Linked DNA regions of Danio rerio. The protein of the gene in region 3 interacts with the protein of the main gene of each other region in a pairwise test. Links are inferred from orthologs where the notes say so. Each region holds a gene or a part of one and is shown on either strand. Other genes may lie near its edges. The genes, in order: foxm1, tox4a and banp.

Region 1 (4,420 bases), on a different chromosome or scaffold from region 3:
AAGACGCTCAAAAGTGCTTTACACATTGGGAGGAATCTCCTCATCTACCATATTGCTCCAGACCGCACACCAATAAACCAGCTGATTGGTGGAGATAACTCACCTTTCCCAAGCTCAGACCCAAGTTCTGTAGAAAAACACCCAAGGGTTTTGCTCTCCTCCAAACTGGTGTCTCCACTGAGCAGGATGAACTTGTTTCGCCCCTGAGGCCCACACTCCTTCCCCTTGGCCGTCAAGACACTGATGACACTCTGCAGATCGGCTGATTTCGGGATCACCACCACCTGTGTGTCCGGCATAGTAGGGTGGTCCATAACACGGATGCCATCAGGGAAGCTGCGAGCAGTGGACTGGGTCGAGGTGGTCTTACAGCGAGTCCCATCAGCTTCATCACACCCCAGATCAGATTCACTCTTCAGAAATGGCAGCTTCCTCCTCTTTAGGATGATGGGTCTCCTTGGGCTCTCCCTCATTGTTTGCTCACAGCAAATGGGCCTGTTTAAACACCTGTTTGATATAACATAAAACAGATCAAATGTAATGTTTACAAAATTTGTTAGAAAACATTGATTGTTCCAACTAAGCCAAGTTTCTCTTGAACTTTTATTTCCTTCACTTTCGTCAATTGGTGAAGTTTGTTCCTCGCCACTGGCTTGCTGGGTTTTGGTACTTGTGAAGCTACGCATTGATGGATTTGCTCTCCAAGTGTTTGGAGCAGAGAAGCAGAGAAATTTAAACCACACTAGGCATGGGCTTTGCCAGAGATGGGTTGCAGCTTGAAGGGCATCCGCTGCTTAAAAACGGGCTGGATAGGTTGGCGGTTCATTCCGCTGTGGCTACCCTGGATTAATAAAGGGACTAAGCCGAAAAGAAAATGAATGAATGAACTAGGCATGGGCCGATATAAGATTGTGACATGATAACCTTGGATAAAAATATCTTTATTTTTAAATGTCTGGGTAAAAACAGGGTTTCTGCAGGTTTCATCAAGTCAAATTTAAGACTTTTTATAACCATTTTCAATAAAATTTCAGACTATCACATGGCAAAACTCTAATAATTTTCTGTAATACCCGGTGTATTTTTTGATTTGCCCAATTAAAATTAAAATTCAGTTATTTCTTAGCCATATATTTTAAATAATGTGTCAAAACAAGCAAACTCTAGTTTTACATTTTTATTAGCATAACCCTTCTTTAAAAAAAGACCAGTTTTAAAAGCTATAATAAACTAAATTTATGCACAACATAAAATAAAATTTTTCAAAATGTAATTTGATTTCCTATTAAATATAGATAATAAAATATTTTTAAAATTCGGAGGTCTAAATCAAGGTTAATATTTATTTTAAGGGTAACTACACCTTAAACTTCTAGATTATTTCAAAATGCTATATATAAAAAAAACTGTATTTTTTGGTGTCATTTATTTAATCGACACTCACAATGGGATATTAATCTAAAAGACTTCTGAAAACCAGACCAAAACAAAATATTTTTCACAAATACAATGTAGCATAAACAATATTAAATTAAAGACAATCAGAATGTCTCGAAGTTTTAAAAGCTATAATAAACATTTATGCTCAACATAAATTTATGCATAAAAACTGAGAATTTTTAAACAAATGCTATTGTAAGGATGACAATTAAACCATACTGCTAAATAATTAATAAAAGTTAATTTTGTTAAACTTTTTTTTTTTTTAAGGATTTGTTGGTTGTACTGATTGGCTATCGCTTTAAATGGACAATTAGTGAAAATTATGACCTGTTTAAATGTATTTAAGACCCACAACAGCATATTTGAGTACATTTTTTAGGGCCTTAAATTTAGTTTTTGAAATTTAAGATATTTTAAGACCCAGCGGACACCCTGAAAAAACTAAAAACTTTTTTTCCCCTTTTGAACACAATATATTTTATTTTGAGAAACATTTAACATATTTTGAAGCAGTAAACATGTCAGGCTGCTCTCTTCGTTAGTTTCAAAAACACAGATTTCTTTACAATTTAAAGCAGCATCTTTGGATTTTTTTTTCTGCCGGTGATACTGTTGACCTAAAAAGCTGAAAAAAAAAATCTTACACATACCTTAGGAACAGTATAGCAGACAATGTTGGCGTTTTTTTAAAACCTTGACTTTTCCAAACAGCGGTATACCTTGAAAAGGGTTATCGTCCCATGCCTAAACCACTGAACTGAACTTCAACTCTGAAAACTGGACTGACACAGTTTAAATTTACTAGAACTTTTCTGTTGAGTTGCTTTGACACAATCTACATTGTAAAAGCACTATAGAAATAAAGATGAACTCAATAGTTCTTTTCTAAATACAGTATATTCAGGAACTGTTTATCTGCATGCTAACTATACATATTTACTGTCCACATTAACTTTATCTGATTGAAACATTAATAACATATTCCTTTTGTAAAGTTGTTTTGGAATAATAAAGCATATATACATAGAAAAAGCGTATAAAAATAAATAAATAAATAAATAAATAAATAAATATATATATATATATATATATATATATATATATATATATATATATATATATATATATATATATATATATATGAAAAAACTTATAATGTTAAATAAACAAGAATTGAGCTGTTGTTACTTACACTGGAAGCTTTGCAGAAGTGTAACAATGATAAACCACCCAAATAATAGCGTGAAAATATTAAATCAAGTGCTCGTATAGAAAATACACATTAATTATTGACATATATCAAATATTATCGCAAATAGCGGAGAATATACCGATTAAAAGATCTGTTTAACCGACGCTTCTGGCTAACGACTCCAAAATGACGTTTGTAGTTCTGAAAGATGAAATACCGTTATAAATTGATTACATTCAATTTGACGTCTTGTTATTATGAGGGTGATGACGATGACAGATCATTCAGAAACAAAAGGACATAACATTGCTCCAATTCAGGTCTGTAAAATAATATTTTGTTATTGCATAGACCTTCAATCGCGTTGTACGTCATAATATAACACTTAAATACATGTTATTGTCCTAATCATACATTTTATTATTAAAGTTAACGCGATCGTGCTTTATTATCTGACATGCGGCCTAGTTATTTGCATACCCACCCTGCTAACTTGCTATACACGTAAATTCCTGTTGTAATGCATTAAAATAAACCCATATCAAACAATACAAAGCGGATCAAACCTTCATATCATGTCAGCCGTGCAGACGGTGCTTTATTTGAGTTAATCAGGCAGTGTTGATTGCTAGAATGTATTTTGATAAAGGTAAATATAAGACTCGGGTCGCAGGATTCTTGTGAGCATTTGGTGAGATTTTGAATTTTGGCGCAGAGCGGTGCTGCGCTCTCACGTGATCACGTGGTGGCCAATGGCGAACACATATGGGCGGAGCCACCACAAGTAGTGCATTTCTGCAAGTAATGCACACTGCAGTAAATAATTTCCCTTTAGGGGGCGATCGGTGGCTCCTCTGACATACACATTATAATTTTTACAACTGAAACATTCAACATTAAGCAATACAAAGCTGCATCTAAATCTAAATAATAAACTTTCAGTTTAGCATTTTCTTATTCCCCCAACATTTGTATAAGTTACACAATTATTTACCTGGCCACACCATTAATTATTTATATTTATATGCAGGAATTTATGGATTCATTTACTCTTGTATTTATATATTTGCATATTTATTTATTATTTTATTTATGCAGTATTTTCTGCAAACATTTACTTATTTATTTATATATTTTATTTATAATTTAATTAACATATATTTGCAGGTTTATTTATTTATAATTTTGTTTATGCCGGAATTTATGGATTTATTTGCTCTTTTATTTATATATTTGCGTATTTATTAATTTTATTTATGCAGGAATTGATGAATTTATTTACTCATTTATTTATATATTTGCGTATTTATTTATTTATTTTTTTTGTTTTAGCAGATTTCGTCCTGCATACGTTAGTAACACGTATTAAAATAATATTATTGGTGGAAACACAACGAATAATATATCTATATTTACGTTTTAATTGTCATTTGGACCAATCCTATCTGACCAATCACATTAAAGCCGTGGTCGCAAAGCCCCGCCTCTTGTTTCATTACATGCTTATGCTAGCCAACATTCAATCACTTTTTCATTTCTAAAAAGGGGGATGAAAGTGCATGAATGAGGGATAAAATTCCAACAAACCTCGCCCAAACAGTCTTTCTCTGTTCACATTTTCATGGTCCAAAGGAAAAAAACAATGCAATTGAGAAGAAATACAAAGCAATGCGTGAGTATTAGCTGAAGTTTGCATTGTATGCCATGCATTTCCTTACGAGCGAACTTTCTGTGTTGTTAACATCTATGCTAACGTTACATCTTGTCAATTGATAACACATTTAA
Region 2 (3,657 bases), on a different chromosome or scaffold from region 3:
GGTATATTTAGCTTCGGCCCAGCACCCTTAATCAAGTTTGGTTTTTGGCCCTTCGTAAGAAAGTTAGGGCACCCCTGGTTTACAGGGAATTTAGGCACAAATCTTGTAACATGCCCTATGACCCAATCCTACTTGTTCAGTAGTCGTTTTTAAGTGCATGCATGAATGAGTATTTCTAAAAATTTCTTTCTTGACATAAAATTATTTTCAAACTAGTGCTGTATGATATTAGAAAGATCTGACATTGCATTTTATGGTAGTTTAAAAGTAATCAAAATCGACATTCACAATTTATAATCAATCAAATTTTTTCAGATACATTTTTTTTTTCAATTACTTTTCCTACCATTTGTGAATTCAAATGACTCCATTCTGGGCTGATTTATACTTATTGTATTATGATTTGTACTACTTGCATTATTTTGATATTATGCTTCTGCCAAGAGCACATGTACGGTCCGGCACAGCCTTCACATACAAAAAAAAAGTAATTACACATCACAACTGTTATAGCTACACTTTACTGTACAAAGCTTGTCACAAAACCTGTCACTTTATGTAACTTGTTAACTATGAGGGCAAAAACAAAAGAAATTAAATAATTGTTCATTAATCATAATCGAGTTAAATTATTCAATTAATCGAGATTTTAGTTTTAGACCAAATCATATAAAACTGTATAACAGTTTTAAATATCCTGAGAATGCTTTTATTTTTAAATGAGAGATGTGTATTATTGCCTCCATACTTCTTGCTTTTACAAATGACCTTTTAAATGGCTGTTAATGTAATTAGATCTAGAGTGTAGATTGCACTTTCAGATCATGAATCTTTCTCTTTCCCCCTTTTTTTTAGGATCTTGGCCATTCTGTTGGCTCTCATTTCGCTAGTTCCTCCTCCATGACTATTGATGTTCCAATAAACGAAATGAGCCACAGCCTCTTAGGACACAACCAGCTCACCACCATAGACCACTCAGATCTAAGTGCCCAGTTAGGGCTCAGCCTTGGTGGAGGATCTGTGTCAAAATCACCAGACCAACCGCTGTCAACCACACCGTCCCCTTCTGGATCACTGCAGGATGAAGACATGGAGGATTTTAGACAAGTGAGTTTTTGAGATATAAGCCTGTTTTGGTGGCACATTTTCATTATTTTTTCATCTTGCAACATCTCCCGGTTTCTTTCTCAGAAAACCATGCTGGTAGACTCTTTCGCTGTCTCTGAGCCCAGTCCAGCCCAGATATCTGTTCCTCCACCTGTGGTGAGGAGGGTGGGTGGTAAGCCATCCATGGTGCCAGTGGCCACAGTGGACACAGGAGCATCACTCGGGGTCAAAAAGGGAAAGAAGAAAAAAGATCCTAATGAGCCACAGAAACCAGTGTCAGCCTATGCTTTGTTCTTCAGAGACACACAGGCTGCCATTAAAGGCCAGAACCCCAATGCCACATTTGGAGAGGTGTCTAAGATAGTGGCCTCCATGTGGGACAGCCTGGGAGAGGAGCAAAAACAGGTATGGAGTCCTTAATAATGCTCTTCTGTTCATGTACCAGGCTTAAAGATGCAGAATGCAATTAGGTATTGCATTTTTTTTTACATGGTTCCTCCAATAACAACATGACGTACACGCAGGTTGCCAGATTAATGATAACAATAAATTACGAGCATTGCTGAAGATCGTGCCTTATCCTGACTATGTTTGCATGGACATCAGTAATCTAATTATTTGCCTTAATCTGAATAAGACAATAATAAGAGTAAGGTGTTTAACATGAGCTGCTTTTTGAATGTTCCTTTCATGATCCTGTTTTACGTTATAGTATATAGTTCGTTAAACGTCTATACATCAACATTCAACACTAATTTCATTCAGCGTTTTACATAAGTTCGCGTTCATCATGGCACCCAGTGCTTCCCACTCATAGACTTTGCTCAGGCGGGTCGCCCAGGAATATTAACAGCTGCCCAATTGACACAATTTTTTAGTATTATTGTCATACTTTTACACTTTTTGTATCATCCCAACATAACCAAACATCCGCAATTGATTAAGTAGGTGAAAATTATGTTGAACTGTCAACACTCCCACAGACAGTCTCAAGTGCTCTGCAGACCCACAGAGACGTGCTTTTTTTGGGACTTTTTTGGGAAATTTGCCTGCCCCCTGTTTCTAAAGCTGCTAAAATGTCTGGGATTCAGCTTTTGCTTTTACATTTTAAAGCTGTCATTATGCGTTTTTGCATTACATTTTTATTTAAGCTTACTTTCGCTTGGCGTCACAGCTGACAGCGCAGTTGCGAGAGCAAGAGAAACATTAAACAATTCATTCTCTAATCTAAACTGGCTGCAAAATATATGTACAACATTAGTAATGGTTAATCAATGCGTCTGCCTTATTTAAATAATCTACACGTTTTAATCTTGTAATTATGGTCATTTTAGAGATATTGTCTGTTTTTATTTATTTTTTTGTTCATCATTTGCTGTATATTTTAATTTAATTATGTCAATATATTGTGTGTTTTATATGCATATCAAAAATGCTTTGACCTGCAAGTTTGCTTTAAACTTGAGAGGGAGAAGCAAGTTTTACCTGTCAGTGGGTGCACATGGCTCCTGAATAGTTTTTTTTTTATTTTATTTTTTTTACTTTAACCCATTGAAAAGAAACCATGTATAACAGTGTCATAATAAATACAATTATTGTTAAAAATTAAATTGTTTTGTTTGTCGCATATTGTTAACTATTTATTTGATGTGGGTAAATGGTGTGTTTTAATCTGGCTATCACCACAAGTATATTTCAAACCTGTGGGAAGCACTGGCACCATATGTGATTTTGGATGTTTTGTTATTAATTTCAGTTTAAGTTCAACTGCAGTTAATTTCTCACACTATGCATGCAAACAAATGACAGCGGATACAAATTCTCAAGTAACAGGCCACCTCTGCCATTTCATACACTAGCTTTTCATTTGTTTGTCGTCAAATGCCTGACAACTACCATGTGTGCATCCTGTCGCAAAATGTAGTGAAAAGTACTTCAAAACAGTAATAATTTGATTAAAGTGTTTATGTCTGTACTGCACTTCAATAATGCCCCTAAATTACAGATACTTCACATCTTTGCAATGCGATTACTGTACAGTTTGATTCTTACTTTAGTCAGAAGAATAAGGTAATCAAAAATTTCTGTTTACATGGTAGACTCTTAAGAGTATTGACTTAATCGTATTAACATTGGAGTATTGGTGTTTATGTAAATGTGCTCCCTGTAAGCTAAACAGCTGATGGTTATGTTGGGAAACTTTCAATTGTTTGCAAAATAAAATCTCATAGATTTTTATGACTCTTGTATCTCATTTCGGAGGTTACTGCTGTCTTCCGGAGGTTGCAATTTTAGCTGCGCCTGCATACACTGAGGCAGCCTTCAAAACTGAAAAGAAATATGGGGTGTTTTCCACCAAGGCAGCCTGGTGTGCTGAAATATGATTGGGTAAACTGGCAGTGGGCTGGTTATTGAGACCAAAACTAAGACAGACATTCCGACATGGAGCGCACATTTTCAAAGGAGAATAACAGACTTGAATTCTTGTTTTTCAGATAAACAAGTGTTCACTTATGCAGAGTTCAGATTTGCATGAATAACAAGCGTTCA
Region 3 (3,657 bases):
AGATTTAGTGGAAATAGTCCAGATTGCAGTGGCGGATTTAAATCATGAAGGACACCAAACAGGTAAGTCCACCTTAAAAAATACCATATATGTTTATACATGAAAGTGTTTGTGGTTTCCTACTAATGTAATTCATTTTTATTTTATACTAGATGTTCTGGAGAATAATGAAGACTCTGATCAACCAGGGAGGAAACGAGCAAGAATTGAGATCAGTCAAGAAACATCTATCAAGGTAGCTTTCTAATGTCATTAAAGGGTTGTTTCACCATCACTCACCCTCGTCCACATGTTGTCCCAAACCAAATTTTGGTTCCTCTTTTGAAGGTCTATTTTCCCAAAACTATAATGCTTCATTCGACAATTAAAAAGGAATCAAAAAAGCATGAACAAAGCAGTTTAATCCAAGTCTTATTTATATAATGGACAGATGTAATTCTGGCCTTTATTCACATATAAACAGAGATGTATAAAGTACTAGAGACCCAGACTTAAGTAAAAGTATAAGTCCTCTATCAAAAAAGTGACTTGAGTAGAAGTTGAAATGCTCCAAGCACCATACTTAAATGGAAGTACTAAAGTATTCAACATTTTTTGTACTTAAATATTGTAAGTAAAAGTACAAGTATTGTGTAATGTAGTTCTTAAAGAAAGCAGTCAAAAGACATATTGTTTTGCTTATTTGAAATATCTTTTTTTGGGGCACATGATTAAGCGAACGAAAAGAAACATGGCTTACGGTTTATATGAACTAGGATAACGTTTTTCTCTCGCTTGAACCACAGATCTGACAGATTATAACAGCTTTAACACACACCTTTCACTCCAATTTCTGTAATTCACTCAAAACGCTATTGAAACCCATTTTCGGCTTGCAAATTACGGTTGTAAACGCCGTAAACGGGAGTTCTAAACATTCTGCCGGAAGACACTGGTCACTATGGTGCCCTCCATGCAGCAGCCAAGAAAAAGGTCTATAATTGTAAGGAGTAGAGGTGTGAATCTACACTGGTCTCACGGTTTGGTTCGGTTACCATTATCATGCTATCGATTCGGTTCAATTCGATATCTCGGTGCACTGACAATGCTTTCCATACATAATTCGATTTTGTCTTCACAACACAAGAATTTTTTTTCATTAAAATCTATAAATATATATATGAATGTCTGTTGAATGACCTCCCACCCTACTCATAATTCTCTTTTCATATCCATAAAACACTGTGATATAGCCGGGCTCGGATTGTATTGCTTTCTCACTACAATTAATCTGCTCCAGAGTTCGTTTGAATCGAGCTGAGACCATCTCATTCAAGCGATCTCGAAGCGATTGTTTTGGCGCAGATCCGAGCGCGATTGCTAGATTGCAAACGAGACAGGTTCCGAAACAAAGGTCTAGGTATGAAAGTACCCTTAAACTCATTGAAGATATGTACTGAAGTAAAAGTGGAAATAGGAGAAAAAAACAATACTCCAGCAGAGTGCAGATACAGCCTTTTAGTACTTAAGAACAGTAGTGAAGTAGTTCTACTTCGTTACTATACATCTCTGCATATAAATAATAATCATGGAGTAAAAACTGAAGCAATGATTCTCCTTTTTGGTTATTGTTCATCAGTCAAGCATGCTTGCTCATTGTTTGATGAGTTGTGAGTTTAATGTTCACCATAAAAAACAACAATTGTGTGTCTGCAGAATTTGACATTTTTTGCTATTTCTGCGCGGAATTTTGTAAAAACAAATTTATGCTAAATGATTTTGAAAATAAAGTAACTAAATACATGGAATAATTAAATATAACCCTTTTTTTAAATTTAAGGTTTACAAAGCAAACCCATTTGTTTGGTAAACAAAGTCAGTTTCTCATTTAATATATCTACTAAAAAGACTGTTACATTACAAACTGTTACATTACAAACTGTGTTAAATAAATCATATAAACATTAGCAAATTATTAAGTAATATTACTGCAGGTAATATAAAATATATATTCACTCACATTTACATAGTTAAACAAATAGACAAAAAAAAAAAAAAATTGGTGGAAATCTGTGAATTCGCAGATTCCGTACGGGCCTACATATGGGTTATGATGATAGATTTTAAATTTTGGAATGAACTAAAATCAGGGCTCCAAATCTGAATATTCAATAGTGTCAACAGTCATCCTCGTGCATGCACATATAAAAATCAACAGTAAAAAATAGGTGTGTTTTGCATTTAAAAATATATAGCAGGGAAAATAAGTATCCAGCACGTCATGTTTTTTGTTGGGAATAATATTTCTAAAGAAGCAGTTGACATGGAATTGAACCAGATTTTGGTAAAAACCCAAACAATACAAACAAAAATAAAACAAAACAAATCTAAAAAATAAATTTTGTGTAATAGCAATGAAATGACACAAGGCGAAAGTACTGAACTACTAAAACAGAAGCAGGAAATCAGAGCACATCACACCTGTCCTCAGGTCTCTACACTGGCTCCCAGTTACATTCAGAATAGATTTTAAAGTATTGTTACTGGTCTATAAATCACTAAATGGCCTAGGACCTCAATACATAACAGATATGCTGATTGAATACAAACCTAACAGATCTCTCAGATCATTAGAATCATATAAACTAGAAATTCCAAGAGTTCTGTCAAAGCAGGGTGAATCCGCCTTCAGCCACTACGCCCCTCGCTGCTGGAATCAGCTTCCAGAAATGATCAGATGTGCTCCAACATTAGGCACATTCAAATCGAGACTGAAAACACATCTGTTTAGCTGTGCCGTTACTGTATAAGCACTGTGCTGCGTCCGACAGATTGCACTATTATGTTTTTCGTTTTCTTTTTCATGTTTTTATAACCTATTTTAACTCATTTTAATTTGTTTTTATCTGTTTTTAATATTTTTTATTGTCTGCATTTTATGTTCTAAACTTGTCGTTTTTTATTCCTGTTTATGTAAAGTACTTTGAATTGCCACTGTGTATGAAATGTGCTATATAAATAAACTTGCCTTGCCTAAAACGTGTTAAATACTTTATATAAAAGGCTTTTTTTAATGATGGCAGCTTAAAGACGCCTCTTGTATGGAGAATGAAGTCACATGAATTGCTCAGGTGTAAGTTTTTCACACACTTCAACAGTGTGCAAAAATCTTGATGGTTATGTGGGTCTCATCTATCAATAAATGACATTTTCATCTGGTATTAAATATAATTAGATATTTTACCAATTTCTGTATTTCTGTTTCTCCAGTCGATGTTGATATCCATCAGTCAGGCGATCTGCCAGCGGCTGGACAGTATGGAAGCAAAGCTGCAGGTTCTTGAGGTGACCTGTCGAGGTTTAGTGGAGAAACTGGACACAGTGATGGGCAAGAACCAGTCAACGATTCAAGTACCCATGGTGTCCGGGTCCCCATTCGGAGCCACTCAGACTTGTGACAAAGTACGCTGGTAAGTGGACCATAGGTCATGTGATTTATACACCAGCACCATTCATTAAATGGTTGGTTCTGTTTATTTTTTTCTTTATTTCTGCCCGTTTTTACGGCGTACAACATATGTTATAAATGACAACAGGGTCCCCGCGGGGTCTTAAAAGTCTTAAATTAAAAAATCGATATGTATGGCTTTAAAAAGTCTTAAATTCGCTGTTCTAGGT

Evidence for each region.
Region 1: the proteins of banp (region 3) and foxm1 interact in binary tests that used the Homo sapiens proteins (3 or more experiments, as listed by UniProt). The link is inferred for Danio rerio from reciprocal best matches to the Homo sapiens genes BANP and FOXM1.
Region 2: the proteins of banp (region 3) and tox4a interact in binary tests that used the Homo sapiens proteins (3 or more experiments, as listed by UniProt). The two-hybrid records come from large-scale screens. The link is inferred for Danio rerio from reciprocal best matches to the Homo sapiens genes BANP and TOX4.

The regions. Positions count from the first base shown.
Region 1 is NC_133179.1:6,237,920-6,242,339, forward strand, and holds the start of foxm1 (forkhead box protein M1), read right to left. Parts: upstream 2,887-4,420; 5' UTR 2,775-2,886; exon of another isoform or gene 2,636-2,774; intron 508-2,635; 5' UTR 474-507; coding exon 104-473; intron 1-103. UniProt on the Homo sapiens protein: Transcription factor regulating the expression of cell cycle genes essential for DNA replication and mitosis. Plays a role in the control of cell proliferation. Also plays a role in DNA break repair, participating in the DNA damage checkpoint response.
Region 2 is NC_133177.1:41,098,041-41,101,697, reverse strand, and holds part of tox4a (TOX high mobility group box family member 4-B), read left to right. Parts: intron 1-855; coding exon 856-1,107; intron 1,108-1,191; coding exon 1,192-1,512; intron 1,513-3,657. UniProt on the Homo sapiens protein: Transcription factor that modulates cell fate reprogramming from the somatic state to the pluripotent and neuronal fate. In liver, controls the expression of hormone-regulated gluconeogenic genes such as G6PC1 and PCK1.
Region 3 is NC_133200.1:32,860,777-32,864,433, forward strand, and holds part of banp (protein BANP), read left to right. Parts: coding exon 1-62; intron 63-152; coding exon 153-235; intron 236-3,249; coding exon 3,250-3,449; intron 3,450-3,657. UniProt on the Homo sapiens protein: Controls V(D)J recombination during T-cell development by repressing T-cell receptor (TCR) beta enhancer function. Binds to scaffold/matrix attachment region beta (S/MARbeta), an ATC-rich DNA sequence located upstream of the TCR beta enhancer.